2 linked regions of the Arabidopsis thaliana genome follow. The protein of the gene in region 2 interacts with the protein of the main gene of each other region in a pairwise test. Each region holds a gene or a part of one and is shown on either strand. Other genes may lie near its edges.

Region 1 (10,622 bases), on a different chromosome or scaffold from region 2:
CATCCGATATAATCTGGAAGAAAAAATTAAGAGAAAAGACAGGTATCATTATACTTCAATTCATATTTCCTAAATTTGTTCAAATTAAATAACTCATACGCAAATGATTGAACAGCATAAGACTACCTTAAAAGGTTTCGTACAAAACATATTTCCTTGGATTTTACCAAAGCAAAAGTCAACTTGCGAAACCATAAAGACAGCGGTTCCCCCTGCAGATCATAATCTCAACGATTTCTATCAATGGCAAAAAGAAGGTGACATGATAACAAATTAATAAGGAGAAAGAAACCAGAAAACAACCATCACTCCACTACTAGGATTGAGATGAAGCAGCACATAGAGTGAGCGGAACTCGGCTTCATTTTCGTAGATATAGTCCGGTTTTCTATTTGCATCATATATATTATACAAAGAGGTAAGAGTTTTTGCTAGCTGCTCCATGTTCAAGTGATGCATTGAGCTAATACTTGTACCACTACAACTTTGAAGCCTCTCGTGAGATATGACATGAAATTTTACCTGTTACAGAAGCCATTCGGGAGTCAACAATAATAACATCAACGGAACTCTATAGAAAATAAAACAAACTGATGATTACCAATCAGAAGAGGATGATCAATCAGAGTGGTATATATTTCTATGAAAATTACAAAAGAAGAAAAATGATCCTATTTGAGCATCCTGATTAAGATTACGACTATGTAAACTACAATCAACACATTAAGTCAAAATATCTTAAACTTACAAATATTCTTTTGGTAATAGCAGAGGGTTAAACACACAAACGACTGTCAACAAAACCCAAGGAAAGCAATTCTAAAGACAAAATAGACATGCTCAGTGTAATTCATTTACCGAACCAGGAAAGAGAAAAGAGTTAGAAAAAAGTCAAACCATACCATTTCCTCATAAAGGTAGATCACTCTCTCATTGGCCAAATTCTGGATGCTAAGATCTTGTCTAATAGACCTTGTCCTATCGAAAATAAAATCATGAACCACTTCAAACGGGTGCTCCTTGGAGTCGAGCAAACTTAGAAGGTATCTCAGGGTTTCTTCTAAAACTGGGAGCGGTCTTACATCCGATGCCTGAACATCCGCCGCTGAAAGGGTTCTGCAAAACTAGCAAGAACACAGAAAGAGAGTATAAATGCCGTTGGTATTGGAAAAAAATGAACCTCATTGCATAGCAGCTGGTATCTCCCAATAAGTAGTACAAACTATTCATCTTGACCAATAAGTTATGGATTCTAATTTGCATAGATGAAGAATTTCAACATCAAATTTCTTTCAATAACAAGTTCTCTCGAAGAATAGATACGACATGTCAAATATAGAAAGCTGAAGGTGAAAGTTTCCCACATTAGCACCAGAGACATGAAAACTCAAAGCTGTACAATGTGAACCGCACCTTTTTGACAGCTATCTCTGTGGATGATTTTGAGGGGTTTCCATAAAGCCTCTCAAACACTGCAAGATCACGCAGGCGTTCTCTTGTGACTCTTTCCCTCTCTATTGATACCAAAAACAACATATTAGATGAAGCTGTACACACTCTTTTTGGTACTTCAAGTGTAATTTTTTACCTAAACCCCTAGCAAAAGATAATTCTTTGTTCTGAACTGCCGATGCACGGAAGGATCATGAATTGATGAAGGGAAAGTACCTAATTGACCTAAGAACTAGATCAAATCCAATTCAGGTGCAGGATAGGGTTGAATTTTAGCGGAATCTCAGGTCAATTGGTAATTTATCTGCAGCTAACGTAGTTCGATGATTACCTGGGCACATAGAAGAACAAGTTCCTACAATCAATGAAACGTCAGCAGGATCTTCGTCTTTATGTTTTGATTCGTCTTTTTCATTGTTTCGTTTGTGCGGTGCATCGGATCTTCTCTGAAAGGATTCATTAACTCCGCCGCCGGATCCAGTCCTCGGGTTATCAGAGAACTGGCGGTTCCCATAAGTATTCGAAACCCTAGAAGAAGAAGAAGAAGAGCCACGATTACGACGATTCATGGCTTAGAGGGAACGAGATCTTCTTCCCTCCCAAGTCCCAAACCAGACTCTGAAGAAACGAACCAATCAAAGCTGTTACCGAACTATTATTTGGAATAAACCGGAAGAGAACCAAATCCGGTACAGTACTCTCAGCGAATTAAATCTGGCGGCAACCGGGTCAATTTAATTTACACCGGTTCTGACTTGTACACAAATTTGCATTTCTACAAATGCAGCATTCAAAATTCAACTCAAGTAAGAATCTAGAACATTTCACATTTCCCTACACTTTGTAATTTACATATATAGTTTTGGAAAATTTGATTTTAAGTTTTGTTTTGTTTTTCTTTCCGGTTTTGCAGATTTTCTTTTTAAATCGATACCAAATCAAACCTTTCGTATACGGTTTGGTCTTTTTTTTTTGGGAAGAATATATGGTTTAGTCATTTGTGCAATTACGATTCGGTTCTGTTTTGTTTTTTTACAAACAATAGTCTAGTTAGATATATTTGAAGGAAATCAATTTTGATTTTGTCATTTGAGCATTTCATTTTTGGTGTTATTCTATTTTTTCCCACCCCTATACAGGCAAGCTTAGGCCGGTTGGTGGGTCTAGTAGTCACGGCCACTCTCTAGACAGCAGAGAACAATGTGTCCACCACTACAAATTTAGGTTTCTTTTCATCAACTATCCCTAACAAGAATCTAACTGCTAACATTCAAAACACATAGACTAGAACCACTAATCATACTATCATAGTGCAATTTCCCATCCAAAAAAAACTCCATATTAGAAATGCAAAGAGAAAAAGCTGGTTCATCTCCACTAATACTAGACAGTTGTCTCGCATTCTTTTGCTAAGACTTATTTTCTCTTTCACTACAATCTCTAACACGACCAAACTGATCGAACCGAACTATCTACCAAGCATTCTCTGTAAATCTCTACCTGAAGAGTTAAAACACTTAAACACACACAAATTTGAGACAGTATTAGCATCTCTTTGACTAAAGATTGATGATATTCATATGGCAAAAGCATACATTTGCTGGTAGAAATGTGGAAATCGCCATCTACCCCAGGAAACAATTATTGGTCTCTCTCTGAGAAATTTTGACAAAACAACACTTGGTATGTACACACAACATCTTGAGTCTCCAATATAAAAAGCAGAACTCAATTTCTTCCGATCCTTAATGAAGAATCAACACCTTTGTTCTGTCCAGAAGAAGCTGCAGCAGCAAAGATTCTAGCAATCTCTAGCTGAGTATTCGCCATTATCTCCGTCCGTTTCAAATCCAATTCTCCTCTCTTAGCTTCAGCTTCAGCTCTCATTCTCTCTATCTCTTTCATCGTCTCCATTCTTGCTCTCTCTGATCTCATCACCACCTCCGCTAACCACCGTATACTTCCGGCGATCTCTTCCTTCTCTTCTTTATATCTTCTCTTCACTTTCTTCCCTCTCACCTTCGTTTTAACCACAGGCGTACTACTGTCTGTATCCATCTCCGCATCTTTTTCCGGTTTGTTCTCCGGCTTGAATCCGTCTTCCTACACACAAAATAACTTCATTAGAAAATCTCCCAAATTTGGTTAGTTTAGGTGATCAGACCTTAGGAATCTTGCCGACGCCGTTGGATCCGTAAGAAATCTGCGGCGGATGAGCCACCGCAGGCAACGGCGGCTCAAGTAAGAGCAGAGGAACAGAGCAATTCAGAGGCAGAACAGCTTGAGGCTGAGGCTGAGGCTGAGTTCCACGTAGGAGATGATCAAGACGAGGATAAAGAGGCCAAGAGGAGCCATCAGCAGTAGCGGACTCAGAACGGTACCGTTTCTTCATGGACTCGATCTTGTTCTTGCACTGAGTCTGAGTCTTTGGTGACTTGGTGTGAGTGGCGCGTGAGGACACGTGTTTAGCCACGTCTTCCCAGTCTTGTCCCTTAAGCTTGGCTCTGTTTCTGAGAACCCATTTTGACTCATAAGCTTCGAGTAAAGTCGAAACAGCTCCTTCGCTCCATTCATCACGTTTTAACCTATCTACAACGACGGAGGAAGCAGATGGCTTCTTAAGCGATTCGTCGTGGTTGAGAGATTTGAGATTTTCTTGGTTAGATTCTCCGTTCTCCATATATTTTTTCTTCAGGTGACTAAAAACAGAGACAAGGACTCAAGAGTGTGATGAAAGGAGAAAGAAAGAGAAGATTTTAGCAAGTCTTTTGATAAAGATGGGAACCTTTTGAGAGAGTGAATGGAGTTAAACATATGAGAACTGTGTAAGAATACGCTGCTGCTCTCAAAACTAACCAATGAGTTTGGGTACACGCGTTTCTCGCATGTTCAATGGTCGTGCCTCGTGACTTAAAGCTAATGAAATTATGTTTTTCACTTATATTGTTACTGTCATTTTAGTCTTTGTTCCAATTTATGGTTTGTATAAAGATTACAAATACAAACAGAGAAACGCATAATTGCACCGGCTTTATACTTACCTTCACAAAAGTTAGTGGAGCAACCCGTCACACACACATACTATAGAGGAGAATAAAGAGAAAAATGTGAGAAAGTGGGTTACCATTGAAAAATAGGGTTTCTTTTCTTTTATTTGTCAACTTGAAAAAAGGTTTTACTTTTGATTTTATTTTTTCACAATAATGATTTCAAAAATCTTCTGATGCAAATGCTTTTATTCATTTAGCTATAAAAGCCTTTTTGTATGCTTTTTTTCTCTTTTTAGGTGTATGGTGGAGTGAGTCTGGCTGTTAGCGTTGATGTCAAGCCAAACCGCAAAATCCATTTGGCAAAGATGGGAATGAACCTAATGGAAGTGGGGTTTACACTTGTCACTCTCTCACCCATTCTATGTTCCACTCTTTTTCTTCTCTCATGTTTGCGCAAAGATACTAATTCGGGGTTGTTCCTTTTTCACTTATTGAAAGTGTATATCTTTCAAAACATTCAGAAATTTTGTGGGTTAGTGTTCACTAAAATCTTTGGTTAATTATCAAGTCATCCAAATATTACAAGTACCAAATATTAGGACAAGTCTTTAATTTTCACACCTTTTTTCTTACCTATATGAGAGAAGTTTTGTTGTAAGAGTGAATGTGTTTCCTCGTTAGTGGAGTATGATGAACTATGCAACTTCAAGGCAGCACATCGGACATTTTGGGGTCTACAAGATTATCATCGTAGATTTTTAACGCGCCATTTAGAACTTCTCAGTCTCATTTGGGTGATGAAAATGCCTTCCAAGGCATAATCATTTTTTGTTGACATTTTGGTACTTTCTCATGAAGTTGATGCATATGATTATACTTGGAAGTTGGAACATATATATATTTAAAATAATAAAGGTCCTCTGTTCCAGGCTTATTGCATCCGCAAATTCATGAGTACAATCCTTTTTGAACAGAGAACATCGAAAGAAAATCATACGAAAGATTTTACAATCGTTTGAGAATTAACAAAAATCATTAACTTATATAGTTTCCAAAATTCAAAAGTTCAAAACGCATTACGAAATCGACCGAAAACAAAAATACAAATCGATAAAACTTAGGTGCAAGTTTCACGGGAAATTCCGAGCCTGGAATTTGGAACGTCGATGAGAACTCGGTGGTTCTGTTGCTGCATACTAGCGATGACGTTAAGGACAGAGTTAACGTTGACCGGAGCTGCAGCCATGGCGAGGCAGCTGAGGTTACCTGCGGAGCTGTGGATGAGAAGGTTGTCTGGAGGCAGAGTCACGTTCATTCCGGCGAACATAAACGTCACCGACGGGAACACGACGGAGCCGGAGTAGCATGTGTCGAAACCTCCTAGTGAAGTTGCGTTTGCGTTCTTAACACGTCTCCTGAACTCGTTTCTCACCGCCACGTAAGCTGGTTCGACTAGCCTTGTGTAGACCGTCCCTGCGTACATTCAAAAGTGTTTTGTAATTAAAAATCAAATTTCTTTTCTAAAATATAATTTTTATATGAAAATTTGGATTGGCCATTTTTGTTTTGATTGTAAAATCATTTTTAGTCCAGAAATATCACGTGTTACGTGTGAGAGAGCAGAGCAATTAGGTTACTTCCATCGCACGACTTTTCAGTTCTCAAGCGAAAAATAAAAAATATTAAGGAGGGTTGAGAAGTCCATACCCGAGTCAAAGATGGTGCCGGCTCCGGTGGCCGGATCAAAGGCGAGTGCACTTGTAGGAATATCCACAATTTTGTTTCCGACACGAATCCCAACCAAGTTAACATAGTAAAGCGATGATCTTCTAGGGTTCTTTAACAATGGAGTGGTCTTGATCCGGATCGGTTGGTTCTTAGGTCCCAATCTTAGTGATCCGGAGAAATTGCTGGACTTACTATTAGGCAAGCAATACGAGAATGTAGACTGATAAAGATTTTGTGACTGTGAGATTAAAGACAATGGACCACGACCTAAGCCCATGAGTCCTTGCGCTGGCAACGATGTTCCACTAGCTTTGTTGATGCACCCAAAGGTGTAGTTTGGGATGACGTCACTGGCCAATGTTAGTGTGTCTTGTGTCAGATATGCTTCGATGGTTGAACCACCGTAGGTCATGTTGAAACCACATGATTTGCTTACTGTGCAACTTGGATTTGGAGCCTGCAATAAAAAAAACTCTTTATTGATTAATATTTAGAATTTTTTTTGTTCTTTGAGTTTAACAACGTATTTCCATAAAGAATTGTTTTATCCATCTTGGATCTGGTTATTAAATTGCGCTACTAACGATGTGTTACGTTATTTAATTGCAGTTGTAAGTGGCGTTTTTGTATTATAGGCAAAACCTAACTAGCATGACGACAAAGTATATATATAGATCAAAGTTCAAACAGTAAAATATGCTCTACTAGTTGGATTGTTTATAAATTTCTTGTATAAATAATAATATACCCGTGACTTAGACTCATGGTACCAAAAGGTCCAAAACCCGTGACTAGACTTCTCGATCATGGTGTAATAACACGCCAAAAACGAAGTTCACATTCACATCTTTTGTGTAGATGGATCCAAAAATTGACGTAGAGGCATTCACATTACGCCTGACATTCGGTTCGTATTTCGGTTTTGGTTTTAAATTTCTTGTTTTGTTAAAAATAATCAAGTCCAAATACTAACCATTTTTTTTCTTTCGATTTGAAACATTTATGTATGTTCTGATTAGATCTTGTTTTGAACAAAGTAAAAATGCGAATTATTTGTTAGTATAATTTAAATGTATTTTTTGTATATCGATTTTCCCGGTTTATTCAGTACAAAAGTATCGTTAAGTATGAATGTATGATATGATTCAAAAAAATTACGTTGAGTATAGTTTTCATTTTTCAAGTCCATCCAGAGAATGCATGCACATATCTAATTTATACGGAGGGTATAACTATAAAGCAATATTTAGTTACCTGTTTACACTGAGGAGCTTCGCATTGAAGAGTACGAGAGGAGCTTGACTTGGAAGGGTCAAAGAGAACAGAGGAAGAACAGCCAACGCAGCCAGAACAAGGAATCCAAGCAGCGTCATTGCTAGTGTCAAGAGCCACGAGCATGGGCTGAGCCGGTGTCCCGATGTTAGCCCTCACGATGTAAGTCGGGCTCTGAACGATGGCCCGACCAGAGGCGATTGGAACTGATGATTTCCTAACGCCAGCGAGGCTTGACAAGTATAGGAAACGAGCCTTATCTTGAAGAAGTGTATCTGCCCATGAAACAGAAGTTTTGAATGGAGAACATAGACTGTTAATGTGGAACACTCTTAGATCTGAGGAATGGCTCTTTTCATTGCAGTTTATGGATTCAGATTTCAAGATTAAGAGAGAGATTAACAAAATCAAGAGATGGGATCTCATTGTTTAAGACCTTGATTTTGTCTTTGTGGTTTCTAGTGTTTGTAGAGTGAATGTGTGAGTGTGTGTTTATATAGTGAGTGATATACGATGAGTGTGTAGAAAGTAATAAGAATATAAAAATGAAGAGTGGGGTTTTGTATATCGTAGAGAGAACAGTCTGTATTCCATCTCCTATTTTTTCGTTGTTTCTATCTGTTTTTTGGGTCCACACTAATATTGGCTCTCTTCTCTATCGACATGCGCGTTGCTCTCCATCCACAAAAACTCATTACCCAAGGTGTTGTAATTTTTAGACTCATTATCGAATGGTAATCAAGTCAAACTGGAAGTCTAGCTGATTAATCGGTATATTGACTCTTAGCAAAAAAAAAAAAAAATCGGTATATTGATAAAACCGATTCTCATTCTAACAAAATAGTTACAGTTTTGATAAATATCCAATTTATACAACGATAAGGGAAATAGCAGAGGAACGTGTGGAGTGGTATTGTTTAAGAGATCCGAGAAACTGAGTTGAATTTTTTTTTTCTCAAAGAGAAAGATCAAAGGTTTCACGTGAGGAGTAGAAAGTGGAAGACCGACATAAATGCATTATGTATTGTTGCATATTATGGAATGTATCAAAACTACCCAATACTCATTACCATGTGGTGGGTTATATCTCACATTGGCCTCTTCTCCACTATGTAGTGCTGTCCATCAATTATTAAAAAAATTAATGGTGTAAAGTATCTTCATTGTTGTTTGTTTCTTAAGAGTTGAATGTGATATGTCAATATCCTCTATACTAAAATATTTGATATAATTTGATAGAGTTTTCATGTTGTGTGGATTGAACCAAAGAAAATTTTGACCCTTGTATGTAGTTGTAAGTAGCTTTGCTTGTTCTTAGTCTCCACTTAGTCACTCGTTTTGTAAGAAAAAAAGTGGTTGCAGCGAAAATATAACAAATGTAAAATTTAATAAAGTTACACGATTTAACAAATGTAAGCCAAAAATGAATATCTCGTCGGAAATTTACTCAAAAGTTACACGTCTTAAGCTTACAAACTCACTTTATTTTTCCGATCAACATTCCCTTAAAAAACAACATTGTTTTACTTTCTTCTTTTCTATTTTTTAAAATGTGAAATGCACTTAAAAAGCTTAATTCCTTTTAAACTAATGGAAACAAATTCTTTCAGTGTTTATTAATATCAATGGATCGGATAACTCAAGAGTCTAGATAATGAAGTAACTTATACATAAAAAAACTTTTTAAGTGCGGTTTGCATAATTTAATTTGTTTCCTATTTAGTATATAATAACCCATTTGACTAAATATATAATACTCTTTCTTAAATCTTTAATACTCTTTTTTTTTAATCCCACTAGTTTGCGTGTACGCCACTTCTAAATTTATGTTAGTATCAGACCTTGACCTTAACACTGTACAATGGGAAGAGTCCCAAACATAGTAGGAGTAGTCGGAAATTAGAGCATCTCCATCAGTAGTCTCTCATATAGTTTCTCATTAACTAAAAAATATAAAATGATAATAAAGTAGAAGAGAGATTGAGAATAGTTTCTCTGCAGAGAAACTTTAGAATAATGATTAAGAGACTATGTGTATATGTGTGTTTATAATTGGACAGAAGTTAAATCATAATAAAATATCATTATTTATTTTTTTTAGAAACTTTTTGAAATATCTCACCAATGGAGATTACGCTCTCTTTTTTTTTTTTCCTTATATATTCCCAGTCATAACTTGGAGTTGTATTAAATGTACCTACGATAAAAAAATCACGTGAGAATAAAACGGAGTATTTCTTTACCTTTACAAAAGAAAATGAAAATAAAACAATTAAACTTTTAAGGAAGATCAGATAAGTAGTTGAAAGCCTTTAATCTAGTAGTTGAGGACTGATGAGATTAAGTAGTGAGAGGAAGAGGCTTGAGGAGGATCTCTAACATTAATCAAACTCTCTCATCTTCCTCCTGCACTCCAACAAAATCTTCTCGTCTCTCTTTAAACCAATAGCACACAATGGCACATGAAACACCACCCACGCCCAGTACAAGAAAGAGGATCTGCAGCTTATTCTTGATCGTTTGTGTCATTGCATGTATTATTGGTTTGGTCGTTTTTATACTCATCAACGAATGCAAACGTCCGGCGCCAAAAGTAGAATTAGCTTCTATGGACTTCATGGTGCTTAATATCACATAGACTCGTCTTAGTGCAAAGTGGGATTTGTCCATAAGGATCCCTGCAGATCTTCCTGGTGACTATATATGTCTTCAAGGAGACTTTCAAGTTTCATTTCTTTACAAGAATGTTACTCTCTTTACCTCACCTCCACAAAAGTAAGCTGTTTACTATTAACAACCTCCGATACCGCTGTCCTCAGCTTCTTAAAGTTTCTGTTGTTGTCTCCGACGAAAACATTAGTTCGATTGGAACATACATTATGGAAGATGTCAAAGAGAAGAAGCAAGTAACTTTTGGATTGCAGTTTTCTCTTACCGATTGCAGAAAAAAGACGTTAGGAGTTATGAGTTATGCATGCTGTGGAGTCACCTTGAGGTTCGAACCCGGATCTGAGATGAAGGCGTCTGTGTTTGGAAAGCATCCAAGGTACACAAATTTCTGACCAAGTCCACGTCAACACCAGTATAATGTTAGAGTTTGCAAAGATTTGACATTACTTAAGGGCTTTATTGAATTAGAGATTTAGTTTATTTGTAAATGACTTTAGATTTGGTTCGACT
Region 2 (11,904 bases):
TCAGGCAATCTAACATCTGAAACTGGTTAAGAACAAAGACTTTTATGTTTTATCTACCAATGATGTTGTCTGGCGGGATTTAGCGACACAGAACGGAACACCGGTGATGTTGTCTCGAAGCAGTAAGATGTCAGCAACGGCAATCGCAGTGGCACTCGCTCGTTGAGCAAGAACAATCCCCACTGTTGCAGCTGCTAGAGCTGGAGCATCATTAATCCCTTCTCCTACCATAATTAAACCTCCACCTAGCAAAAATCACAACTCTAAATTCTCAGTCTCTTGATAGATGTTTTTGATTGGGAACTATGGCGAGAGTAATGAATGATCACCTGCTTCCCGAGCAATGTTCTTTACATGATTTAACTTATCCTCTGGCTTTAGGTTGCAGTAGACTTCGGTAATACCCACTGCGTTTGCAACTCTCCAAGCACTTGAATCATGGTCCCCAGTTAACATCATTACTCGGAGTCTGGCCCAGCTTTTAAGTTCTGCTATAACTCCTGACACCCCTGGACGAGGCTGATCTTCGAGGTGAATCAATGTTACCTGACAAAATTTAGTTGCAAGGCTCATAAATTTCAGTGTTACAGAGGTTTTTATGGACTAATAAATGGTCAGATGAGAGATGAAAATCACAGACTGTGAAGTAGGAAAGAGGTTTTTAGACCAGCTAAAGAAGTAGTCGTAGTATACCTTTTGATCAACAGAAAGAGCAGCATGAACGAAGTCCTTTCCGTACGAAGACGCGTTTACAGCATCCTTGATCTGTTTAGATTCATCTTCAGATTTGAAAAGTGAGGTAATGAACTCTATAGAACCAAGTGATGCTTTTCGTAATCTACTCTCTTCAGCTACTGTCTATTACAAAACCAAAAAATGTGGTGAGAGACAACATCATATATATTAAGAATGAAAGCCAGAGATGTACACACATCACCCACAGCTATACACTATAAAATCTGGTAGATAAATGGATATATATAAGAATCTAGTAAATAACTGAGTCTCACCTTAACACCGTTGACAGTAGCAGTAAGGCCTCTACCAGGAAAATATTCGAAGCTTTCAACAAAAATAGAAGGAAGATCCTTACCCACACTGTGATCTACAACAGCTCTGCAGCAAGATGAAATGTGTCAGAAACAGCAGAAAAGACCTATAGTACTCTTCAGTCTCAATCTCTTACCAGACCAAGCATCATTTAAACTAATAAACCAGTGTAAAAACCAGTGTAAAAACCAGAGATAGAGAGCTTCATAGCGTTCAAATTTGCTTTTTCCCCTTCCTTTCATCCGATTGTGGTAATGAACTAGAAATAAGAATAAGTTCTAGATGTAGGACTAAAATTCTTTACGTCAACATATCTCCTGAAATGAATGTACCATCCAACAAGATAACTTATTTCCCATGAGTTATAGACGCGCCACAGTACTAACTATGTGATGATGGGATGCACATAGGTCACAACTTGCATGGTTTTAGAGTTTGTGGTAATTAAGTTTTATACTAGTAATTGATGCTAAACAAGCAATACCTTCCAATAGGATGCGTGGTGCCCTTCTCCATGGCAGCCGCAACTGCAAGAGCTTCTTTTTCACAATTTGGAATGCAGCAAGTTATTACACTTGAATTAGTTCCTCCTTGGTGCCCATAAATGGGTTCAATTGCTTTACAAGTAAGGCCGCCGGTTGTTAAGGTACCAGTTTTGTCAAAAGCAATAGTATGGCAAGACGCAAGAGCATCTAGAACCTGTGCACCTTTCAGCAATATTCCCTATAATAGTTACACACGGTGGGGTTACACACTTACACGTGAAGATACTACCTTTACATAGCAAAAAAAAAGGAAAAAGAAAATAAACCATGTTTTCAACTGGATTTGGACAAAAGGAAAATGATATCAAATAGTTAGTTGAAATATGGTGGTCTTCATAGATAAGACGATGTTGTTGCATATGCACCATTCATTCCTCACCATTGACATTTGATGCACATAAGATTATTTAGCTTATAAAGCTTAATTTGCTACAAGAGAACATATACAAACCAATGCTCAAAAGTGCAATTCTGCAAAACATCACAACGCCAAGAAAGCTAACATACACTTGGTGATCACGTAGAGTACTTGAACAATACCTTTCTTGCACAGGAACTAATAGCAGTAGCATAAGCCAATGGAGCTACGGCCAGAGCACATGGTGATGCGGCCACCATAAGTCCCAATGCTCTGTAAACAGATCCTCTACATGCTGCATCATTAACAAGCAATGAAAGTAAGCCAATCAATTTTCCACTCTTATCAATTGTCCAAATGGTGATATATCTTATTAAACAACAAGAATAGTTTGTCACATCAACAATGATTTATGGTAATGTTAAGAAGGGAGAACTTGATCCTGACATCTTACCTGCGGTGCTGAGAAAAGGCCACTTGAACAAAAATGGACCTAGGAAGGCAATTGCAAGTGACAAAACAACGACAACCTTGCTGTAATTCTCGCCAAACTCATCCAGCCATCTCTGAAGTTTGGGTTTATTAGAATGTGCTTCCTCGGTCAGCTGTACAATCTTGTTAAGCGTCGAATCATTCCATGCCTTTGTAGCCTGATTTAGAAATTCCATGGATTGAGATAAGCATGAGGATTTCAAATAAAGAGACAAGCCAAAGCAATGAGAATAGGATAAAAAATACCTTTACAATCATTCTGCCATCCAAATTTCTTGCACCACCAGGCACTCTATCTCCAGCTTTTGCCTCCAACGGCTTGACTTCCCCAGTCAAGTGCTCAATTGTAATTGTAGCACTACCTTGATAGACTTCGCAATCTACAGGCACAATCTAAATGGAAAAAAAAATTCCATTACTTAACAGCTGCAATTGTAACCCTGCTAAAACTAAACTAATGACATACAGGGTCACATGTTTAAGAAATTCAAGTAATGAAAGCAAATAGAAAAGTTTCACAGACCTCACCAGTTCCAACCAAAACATAGGATCCAACTTCTACGCTGTGCACAGGAACGCTTTTGTATGACAAATCAGATATATTTGGAACATTGCCATTGTGTACTTCGATCAACAATGCAGAATCTGGATTACTCTCTTTCAATTCTTTGACATCCACCATTGATCGACTAGTAAAGAACTCCTCAGCTGCAGAAAAATGACAAGACAAAAGCTCAAACCTCTCCGTCATGATAAACATTAACAATGACATATCCCTAATCCTTATTAAGGTCAAGTTCTAACCAATATGAGCAAGATTGAACATAGCTAGAAGCAATCCTCCTTCCAAAGCATTTCCCATAAACACAGATGCAAAAGCCGCAAGTGCCATCAAGACATGGATGTTCACTTTTCCTCCAGCTATATCCATAAGTGCGTCGAGAGATGCTGAAACCTAACAACATCGATGACCATAAAGCTAAATTACTAAATCATCTGGCTAAATTATAAAACTAGCAAGGAGCTTTATAGAGAAGGCTATAGAAAACCTTACTCCAACAAGAGGAAAACCAACAATCATGAATGCGTTCTGAAGAGACTTAATGTAAGGTTCAGGAGCAAGGTAAGGACAGACGGCGGCAGCGAGGAACATTGCAGCGGCGGAGCAGCAAAGATGAAGATGCTCTCTGAGGTAATTGGCCAATCTAACCCATCCGATAGCTTTAGCGAATCCGAACAACATCTTCTGAGGCTTACTCTCCGCTTTCAATTCCACAGAACAGCATCCGTGTTGATGGTGATGATGATGGTGGTTGTGATGATCTTGCTCGTCATCGTGATGATGATCGTGATGGTGATCTTCGACAGCACGTAGACGAATCGACCGTGGTGGAAGATTAAGGGAAGCAGAGATACGAAGCGGTTTTTGACGGAGAAGAGTTTTAGGTGGAAGAATTGAGAACGAGTTGACTCGAGCGAGTCGGAGAGTGGATAAACCACGACGATAAGGGAATCTAGTAAGAGAGGAAGAACGAGTAAGAGTTGCAGGTTCCATGGTCGACGAATTTGAGCTCAAGCGTCGTTTTTCATGCCACCATTGATTCTGATCTCGCGAACTCTGCGTGTAAGAGTCGTTCGTCTTGGTGAAAAAGATGAAAGAATAATAACAGAGAAGGAGAACCAATGTAATTATTCCGATGACATTAGCCACATAAATAATCTCATCTCATACACTTTTTTATTTTTTCCATTTTTTTTGTTGCCTTCTACCAACCAAGGTTCCATTGTTCCGGATGTTTTATTGACCACTTAAAGAAATTTACATGAACCAAATAGTTAACTTCAAAGGCCTGTAAAATATTTCATATTCAGCTGCAAATCTTACAATTATGAATTCATCAGAAAAATGAAGGAATTCTAAATTACAACAATATTTTTTTCCTGGAGATGTCAGTCGTCTTTTCCTTTGCCTTTACCATCTGAAACCTTATCAGAATCATATGCTGATGGTAGCAAGAAAGTGCTCTGATTCTTCTGAATAAACCTGTAAAGATTTTTTTCCAGAAATTGTGAATTTAACCGTTAAAACCGAGAAATCAAAATGGTAGTGATGAAACAGAGAGATTAGATATATACTTGAGGAAGTCTGATAATGTTTGTTGCATGCGACTCCATGTTTCTTCTTCCATGTTTACATATGAAAAAAGATCTGGCAACTTGACTGCAGATTTTTAAAAAAAGCAAAAATAAAATTTCAGAACATCGAATTTTACTGTCCAAATAAGAACTTAATGAGATTTTACCAAAGAGACGGAGCAAATGCTCGGCGCCATAAACAGTTGAAGGTGAAGTATCATCCACGATTGATTCTTGGTATTGTCGCCTCTCTTTCTTATATAGGAGCATCACTGGCAATGCCTTGTCGAAATAACTCCTTATGCCTTTCAATATTTCAGCGACCGAATCAGTTACCCTGCACAAAAACAGAAACACAAAATTTTGTATCGTTGGATTTCGGAAAAGATTCAAATATATCAAACTCTGTGTTCGAGTAAAAGACTCACATTCCATCCTTCTTGGTTTTGAATTCAAGGTACTTGGACAATATCTCATCGACGTTAGGTGAACGAGGAAGTTTCACAACCTATATAATCATTTGAAGACAGATTACCAAACATCAATTTCCCTTCACTTTGGTATACACAATTCATTCGACTACAAATACACACTTATGTCTCTTAACTTTCAAGTCTAGCTGATTCAATAACAATTCTAATAGTGCTAAAAGTATGTGCACAAAATAGAGAAAATTGATGATACCTTGTCCTTCTGCGCAATATACTCCCAGTCGTCAGTGAGTTGCTTTTTAAGTGATGCGGGAATTTGGATCTTCATTAGCTTCTCCGCCGTTACATTATCCTTCTATAGATTACAAATGAAAACAAAAACCTTATCGATATTAGAAGACCTGAAAAATTGACCCTTTTCGTATGTGTGTATATGCATAACAACACATCAGCCATCTATTGTACTGTAAAATATAATCTTAACAAAGACCTAACAGGTATGAACCAAATACATCTCTAAGTTTTTGCAAGCCTGACCTCATTGCCTGACTCGTGCTTTCGTTTCTTCCCTTTTGCAGCTGCAACAGAAAATGTAATCATCTATACACCAGCTTAAATAATTTAAGTTGCACCCAGTCTACCAAATCATTTCCTTGGAAATTGTTGGGAGAACCCTGAACTACAAAGGGAGCGTAAATTAATATGTTGCCTACCATTGGTCTTGGTGTCATCTTTATCAGCCTTTGTGTCTGCAAGTGCAAGATCAGAAAGAAATAGTTAGTTTCTTAGCCTGGATGACCAAAATATGTATCATGTACTCTCAGCATGGTCAATGTGGAGGCAACAACTCACCTGCAGAGCTTCTAGTTTTTGTCTGAGCGGAACGGCCAGACTTGGTACCTTTTTCAACTCCTTGCTTTTTGTCTAGAGCTTTCTGTTTGACAAGATTCTCCTCGGTATGTTTCAACAATCTATCCGCACTAACCCATTCATCCCAACTGTTGGCAAGACAATCATGTCATGGGTCCCAATCTACTGATTTTGCTACATAAACCAGAATCGACATGAGAGCAGAGAGAGATACTCACTTTTTGTTCCAACCCTGCAGACAAAGATCGCTGTATCACTTATTACTGCAAACCAAAATGAAAATAGCTAGTACATGAAACAGGATAATGAAACTATAATAGCTCAGAAGAAGGAGGCCTCACAAGATAGTGCACAAAGTATTTCCACTCCTTTTTCCGAAGCTCGACCTTTTGAACCTGTAATGGAATGTCAATAATCTATCAGGTCTGCCCACACACTGAAAACACTATGCAATAACAGATTTTTTTCAAAACTATGAAGATTTAGCATAACAACGACACACATTTGATATGAATGAGACTCAATCCAGTGACCTATATAATATATGATTGAAAAAATAAACATGCAAGTAGATTAGCTTGCCCTATTTTCCGAGTAATTTATTGAATTCCTTGCTCCAACGGCAAGTGAATTATTCTTTTGCATCTATTACGACTAAGCATTTATGATCATTCCAATCTAAAAAGCTCTAATGCTACATGAATCCATTACCAAAAAAAGAAAACTCGAATCCAATCTCAATGGGTTCATCTTTCGGATCGTCGTAACTTGAAACCGAAATCTACCAAGAAACCCCTAAGCCAAATCTAGCAGAGAGATCTCAATTCAATGAAACCAGTTAATTCCGTAGTCGGATACAACCAAAACCCACGTGAAATACAAGAATTGCTAAATTAACACGAACAAGATAATCTCTAGAATTCAAATTATGCGAACATCTGACGATGCACAGAGAAAGAGAGAGAGAGAGAGAGGTTTTTTATTTGCCTTGGCTCCGTAGACGCGAGGACCATGGTAAGCGAGAACACGCTCGCCCTCCGAGAAGAGTCTGCCGTCGTTGGACGGTGAGGCGCCACCGCTCGCCGTATCTCCGTCACTCGCCGTCTCTTCCTTCGACGAGCTTCCCATTGTCACCGAAAGCGAGAGCGAGAGGCAAAGATCTTCACATCACAAGGCACCCCTTTAACCGTCTAGATAAATGAATCTACGACAACTGCTGAATGACTGAATCGTTGCGAATAGTTTTTCAATTGAGTCCCTTAACTTTCACAATAGTTCGATTAAATCTCTTAAACCTTTTAAATATACTCGTCGCCCATTTATAAAGCATTGTCTTTTTAAAAAAATTTATGCCTTTATTGGTCGTTGAGCAGTTGGACTCATATTTCACTTTGGACACTGATGTTTATTAACTATTATTACATTCAAATAAATATAAAAAAATTGATTAATACATTTTATTTGTATACTTTTCAAGTAACTTTATTTCACTAACAAAACAATAATCCTAAATATAGAAAAATGAGACAATAATTATTGTTTTTGCCATTCTTCTTCCTATGTATCGATCAGAAACATGAGACATGTATAATATTTTCCACTAATGAAACTGGAACAAAAAAATGAAATAATTTTCTCGACCTAGATGGGTATGGGCACTTTAACCGGCCCGGTTTGAACTAAAGATTGAAACATTAGTGGCCCGGTCCGCTTGGGCTTGGACCTGAGTGCTTAACAAATCGAAACGTATCCTTCCTGTCCACGACCTTATGACCCTCGCCTGGACTTGGACCTGAGTCTTTGATCGAACCAAGTGATAAGCCATCGAATAAACTAGCCACGAACTTCTCCTCGGTCTTTGTTAGACCAAGCGGACGACTCTCGACAAGAACCGAACCAATCAACATGAAGAACAGAATCGAACTCAGAACGTTTTTGTTCATCATCATGTTTAAGAACAATTTAACTCTGTTTATAAAAAATATGGTTTTCTTTCTCTTTGGCAGATAATGAATTTTGTTGTGAGTGTTTTGTGAGTTGAGAATGTGACTATATAGTAGTGTTCGTGGAGATGCAAAGTTTGAATTTTTATTCTTGACTAAGTTTGAATTGAAAAGAATGTGATCATTGAAATTAGTTAGTATGCTGCTTCCTGGGAAAATACCAACTTGTTTCTTGAGCATTCAATTTTGTGTGTATTTATTGAACACAAAATAGTGAAAGCCATCAATGAAGAAAAGGATAAGGAATTGAATATTAGAAATAAAGAATTTAATATCGTAGACCAAACATGAAGTTTCATTGTTTGGAGCAGACGGCAGCTAAATATTAAGGTAGATTTGTAGTTGTGTAGACCAAAAATAATGCTTGAATTTCAAACTCGCAACGTATATAAAGTCACACTCACATATATCGTTAGCCGGTTTAGATTTGGTTTTCGTAAGTATATTATGGTATATTGTTGGTTTCAGATTGAATTTGTTTACTTTATTTTACTTTACTAGAAAATGTACATCTCTAGCTTTGGTTTCGTTTCAACTTTCAGCCAAATTTTTTATATATAGAAAATAAATTTAAAATCAGATAACTTGAATTTTTTTTAAAAATTTGGTTAGGGTTTCTGGTTCGGTTAAACCAGCTGATTTAAGGAGTGACATAAGCTAAATTGACTATGAGTCGGATCTCATGTGTTTGTTTTATAATATTGTTAGATACACCAAACCTAATCATCAATGCTTCAAAAGTTCAAACACTTTGGTGTTATTTTTCTTGCACGACCAAAAATAGTTCCTTCTCACGTGATTTTTCTTGCAAAAAACATTGAACAACCAAACTTTATACTACTCAAAATTCAACATCCAAATTTTAGTTTTTGTTAGGTAGAAATAAGAAATCTATCCTATGAAAAGACAAAACCATTAATTTTTATTTCAACTCTTGCTGCTATATGACGTTGAATTATGATAATTTTTCCGTCTCAAGTTCATAAACGATTTTTCAAACAGAGTTGTGATGAAATTTATTTATTTTCTAAAAAAAAAGGAAGATTGATAGTTTTGAAGAATATATTATTGATGGTAGCCAAATAATTTACCGGAATAAAGTGTAATATCATCTCAAACTGTTCCTTTTTATAGCAAAATCGCTCCTTTTTATCCGCAGTTAGAGTATAAGACAAAGAAACCAAATTCCAGAGCATCAGGAAACTCTTTCCCATATTTTAAGGTGAAATCACTATTTTGAAATTATTAACTTAGTTTAATAACCAATTATTGAATAATACAAACAAAGTACTTAAAACCCGGTTTAATGTTTTATTTCGATTTTATAAATATTGGTTTGGCCAAAATAATATAGTTTATAAGTGGCGTAAGACCACGCCAGAATAATACAAGAAGAAAAAATGTTTAACTATGTATAGTTCGGACGTGGTAGTCCATTAATAATGGAATCAAATTCTGCATTAATAAATTCATTATCAAGATTCCAGTCTTTTGTATTCCTTCCAATTACATGAAATTAATATAATTCTTGAACAAATATCTTTGGACAAAAGAATTTCAATTATTTACTTAAATCTATATAAAAGCAAATCTTTAATCCATTCAAATAGCAGATATGTATCTCTAGGGATTAAGGTAGTATACAACTATAACATCTCAAAAGAACCAAATTGTGACTGCACAATGCAATATCATAATTTGTATATCGAAAACATGATATGTTCACATGGTTCGTCCATAAACAGTACTTATATTCATATTTGACCACTAAATATTTCACATTAAAAAATCGAAATTAGAAATAATTATGGATTTAGTTCTGCAAACTCGATTTTTTTTAAAAAAGATTCGAAGATGCAAGATTGATAATGAAATAAAATTGAGGGTACATCATACATGTGGGGGAAGTGACGTTTAAAAACAAAAAGGAAAAAGAGGAAGAAGATAGATGCCAATATTGTTATCATGACAACTATGAAGCAGAGTTAGAGTCCGTCCGTCCATACAAGTATTTTGTGTGAGTACCACCGAATTTGTCTGTCTATGTTATCTCCCTTCTTTTTCTCATGCCCACGAACCAACATGACAATTATGTTTTGTTCGTTTTTTGAAAAATTCTAGAGTTTTCATTTATTAATTATCGTTGAGTTATGATTTAGTATGATTTTGGTTTAAAAATTCCACTTCTTAGGACTCATTGTTTGATCTTTGTGTTTCTTATTTATTTCTTTGCACAGTACTAAAAATCATGCATTAGTTCTTACCATTCACAAATCTTCAAAACTTAATTAGAAAAAGAAAAAAAAAAATCGATCAATACAATGAAAACGTTCTCCTATGCACTATGCAGAACAAGTCTCGAGGATTCGTATGGTCAAATTTATTCCGATCAAATTATTCGCGAAAGTGTGAGAAACAAATACGTACTTTATTTCTCTTACCTCCTCCTACGTCACTTCTACGCATTCGTGCCCTACCTTCATCAGTACTCTTCCAGTTTCTAAAGGTTAAAACCGAGTCGATGATCCACGACCGTAGAGTTAAATCAAGTAATCAACTTAAGTCATTGTAATAAGAAAGCCTCCGCTCAAAAAAAATTCTACAATATTAGTTTGACATAAAACTTCAAATGATAGAAATATGAAATCAAATAGTTGTAGACTTGTAGTCTAGTACTTTCATTTGGCTCATTTGGCAATTGCAAAGTTTACGTGGTGATTACTAAACTCCTTGTCGGTATAAATGTTTTTGATCATGAAACCATATACCGAAAATATTGGTATATATAGTCCTGCCTAACTCCACTAACAAAAAGTCAGGATTTTTAAATTACCAACTACAACTTGAATTGTCATTTGGAAGATTGATTCATTGGAATATTGTGTATCTTAAGCCATAAACAAATCCCATAATTTAATAGTGTGCCAGAATTTTGTATTCATATTTTAAGCAGTAAAAACAAAAACAAAATACATATATATATTCTCAATCAAACTATAATACTTTAGATTTAAAGCTATTAAGAAAAACATTTAGCTAGTCAAAAAAAACAATTAACACTTTTCGAAAGGTCCATTTCCAAGGAAGCTAGAGACCGTCCTTTTTTACTAATTCGCCTGCACCATCCCCTTGTATCGAGGGTCTAATTCTACACCTTATTCCATTTTATATTCCCTAACAATTTTTTTAGTTTTTTTTTTTATATTACTTTAATTCTAATGAAAACTCCTATCTTCCTTCCTCTCCATCCTTTTTCATCTACCTTTGAATCTTTTGACACTTGTATATAAAGCTTTACTTCCTCCTTTGTTACTCCTTTTCTATCAATCACCAAAACACATTCATTGTCTTAAACCCTAAACCTCAAGAACCGAACAACCACACCAAAAAATGAGACCGGTTGGCTTGATCTTTACGGTCATGTTCTTGGTCTCGGCCTTTTCGGAATCAAGAACCGCGGATTGCAGAGTTCTCCTTGGTGGTTCGACGGAGGAAATCGATCAATCTAAAATTCATGGGGTCGATTTACGAAGTGAAGACTTATTAGGGGTCGTGATACATGGTTATAAGAAGCTAAGGTGGCTCTCATCGGCCGGGGAGAGGATGCATACAATGGCTTCAGGACCGAGCAGGAGAGGTGCTGGTCACTAAAATACGAACCCAAACAAAACATTATACTTCGATATTTGTTTAGCTCAGGTCATAGAATCATATTTTTCATTTTTTATAGATTATTATATTTATTCAGTCGCTAAAGATCCATGTAAAGTTTAGAAGGGTGATATTCTTTGATCATACAATAGTCGGTTTCCTTCTCATAAACACCAATTTATAGTACGTGCCCATTAATCGATATTTATTTTAGTTTAACAAATTTCAATTTTGAGATCTACGTTAAGCCATCAACCATGCAAATTGTATATGAGTCAATAATATAGATTGAGGAGATATGTTATCGGCCATTCTGGTGCAACTTAAATGATATACAGCCACATGATTATCTCTTTTCCTTTTTGGTA

The links.
Region 1: the proteins of AT4G37280 (region 2) and AT3G54390 interact in a two-hybrid assay, tested with the Arabidopsis thaliana proteins (one large-scale study listed by BioGRID).

The regions. Positions count from the first base shown.
Region 1 is NC_003074.8:20,134,732-20,145,353, forward strand, and holds AT3G54390 (sequence-specific DNA binding transcription factor), read right to left. Parts: upstream 4,514-10,622; 5' UTR 4,267-4,513; coding exon 4,238-4,266; exon of another isoform or gene 4,152-4,237; coding exon 3,617-4,151; intron 3,556-3,616; coding exon 3,181-3,555; 3' UTR 3,007-3,180; downstream 1-3,006. Other genes in the region: SAC3C (SAC3/GANP/Nin1/mts3/eIF-3 p25 family), read right to left, coding at 1-13, 127-212, 304-522, 903-1,124, 1,414-1,514, 1,784-2,021; AT3G54400 (Eukaryotic aspartyl protease family protein), read right to left, coding at 5,560-5,915, 6,150-6,627, 7,425-7,868; AT3G54410 (hypothetical protein (DUF1163)), read left to right, coding at 10,187-10,504.
Region 2 is NC_003075.7:17,542,353-17,554,256, forward strand, and holds AT4G37280 (MRG family protein), read right to left. Parts: upstream 7,208-11,904; 5' UTR 7,011-7,207; coding exon 6,870-7,010; intron 6,278-6,869; coding exon 6,224-6,277; intron 6,115-6,223; coding exon 6,101-6,114; intron 6,011-6,100; coding exon 5,865-6,010; intron 5,762-5,864; coding exon 5,726-5,761; intron 5,591-5,725; coding exon 5,550-5,590; intron 5,368-5,549; coding exon 5,266-5,367; intron 5,090-5,265; coding exon 5,010-5,089; intron 4,919-5,009; coding exon 4,749-4,918; intron 4,667-4,748; coding exon 4,582-4,666; intron 4,490-4,581; coding exon 4,396-4,489; 3' UTR 4,225-4,395; downstream 1-4,224. Other genes in the region: HMA1 (heavy metal atpase 1), read right to left, coding at 58-245, 330-546, 694-858, 1,011-1,116, 1,535-1,773, 2,136-2,248, 2,408-2,603, 2,692-2,838 and 3 more; AT4G37290 (uncharacterized protein), read right to left, coding at 7,577-7,831; AT4G37295 (uncharacterized protein), read left to right, coding at 11,276-11,536. UniProt on the Arabidopsis thaliana protein: Chromatin remodeling factor. Acts as a 'reader' protein by binding to H3K36me3 and H3K36me3 to control histone H4 acetylation. Increases the transcriptional levels of the flowering time genes FLC and FT.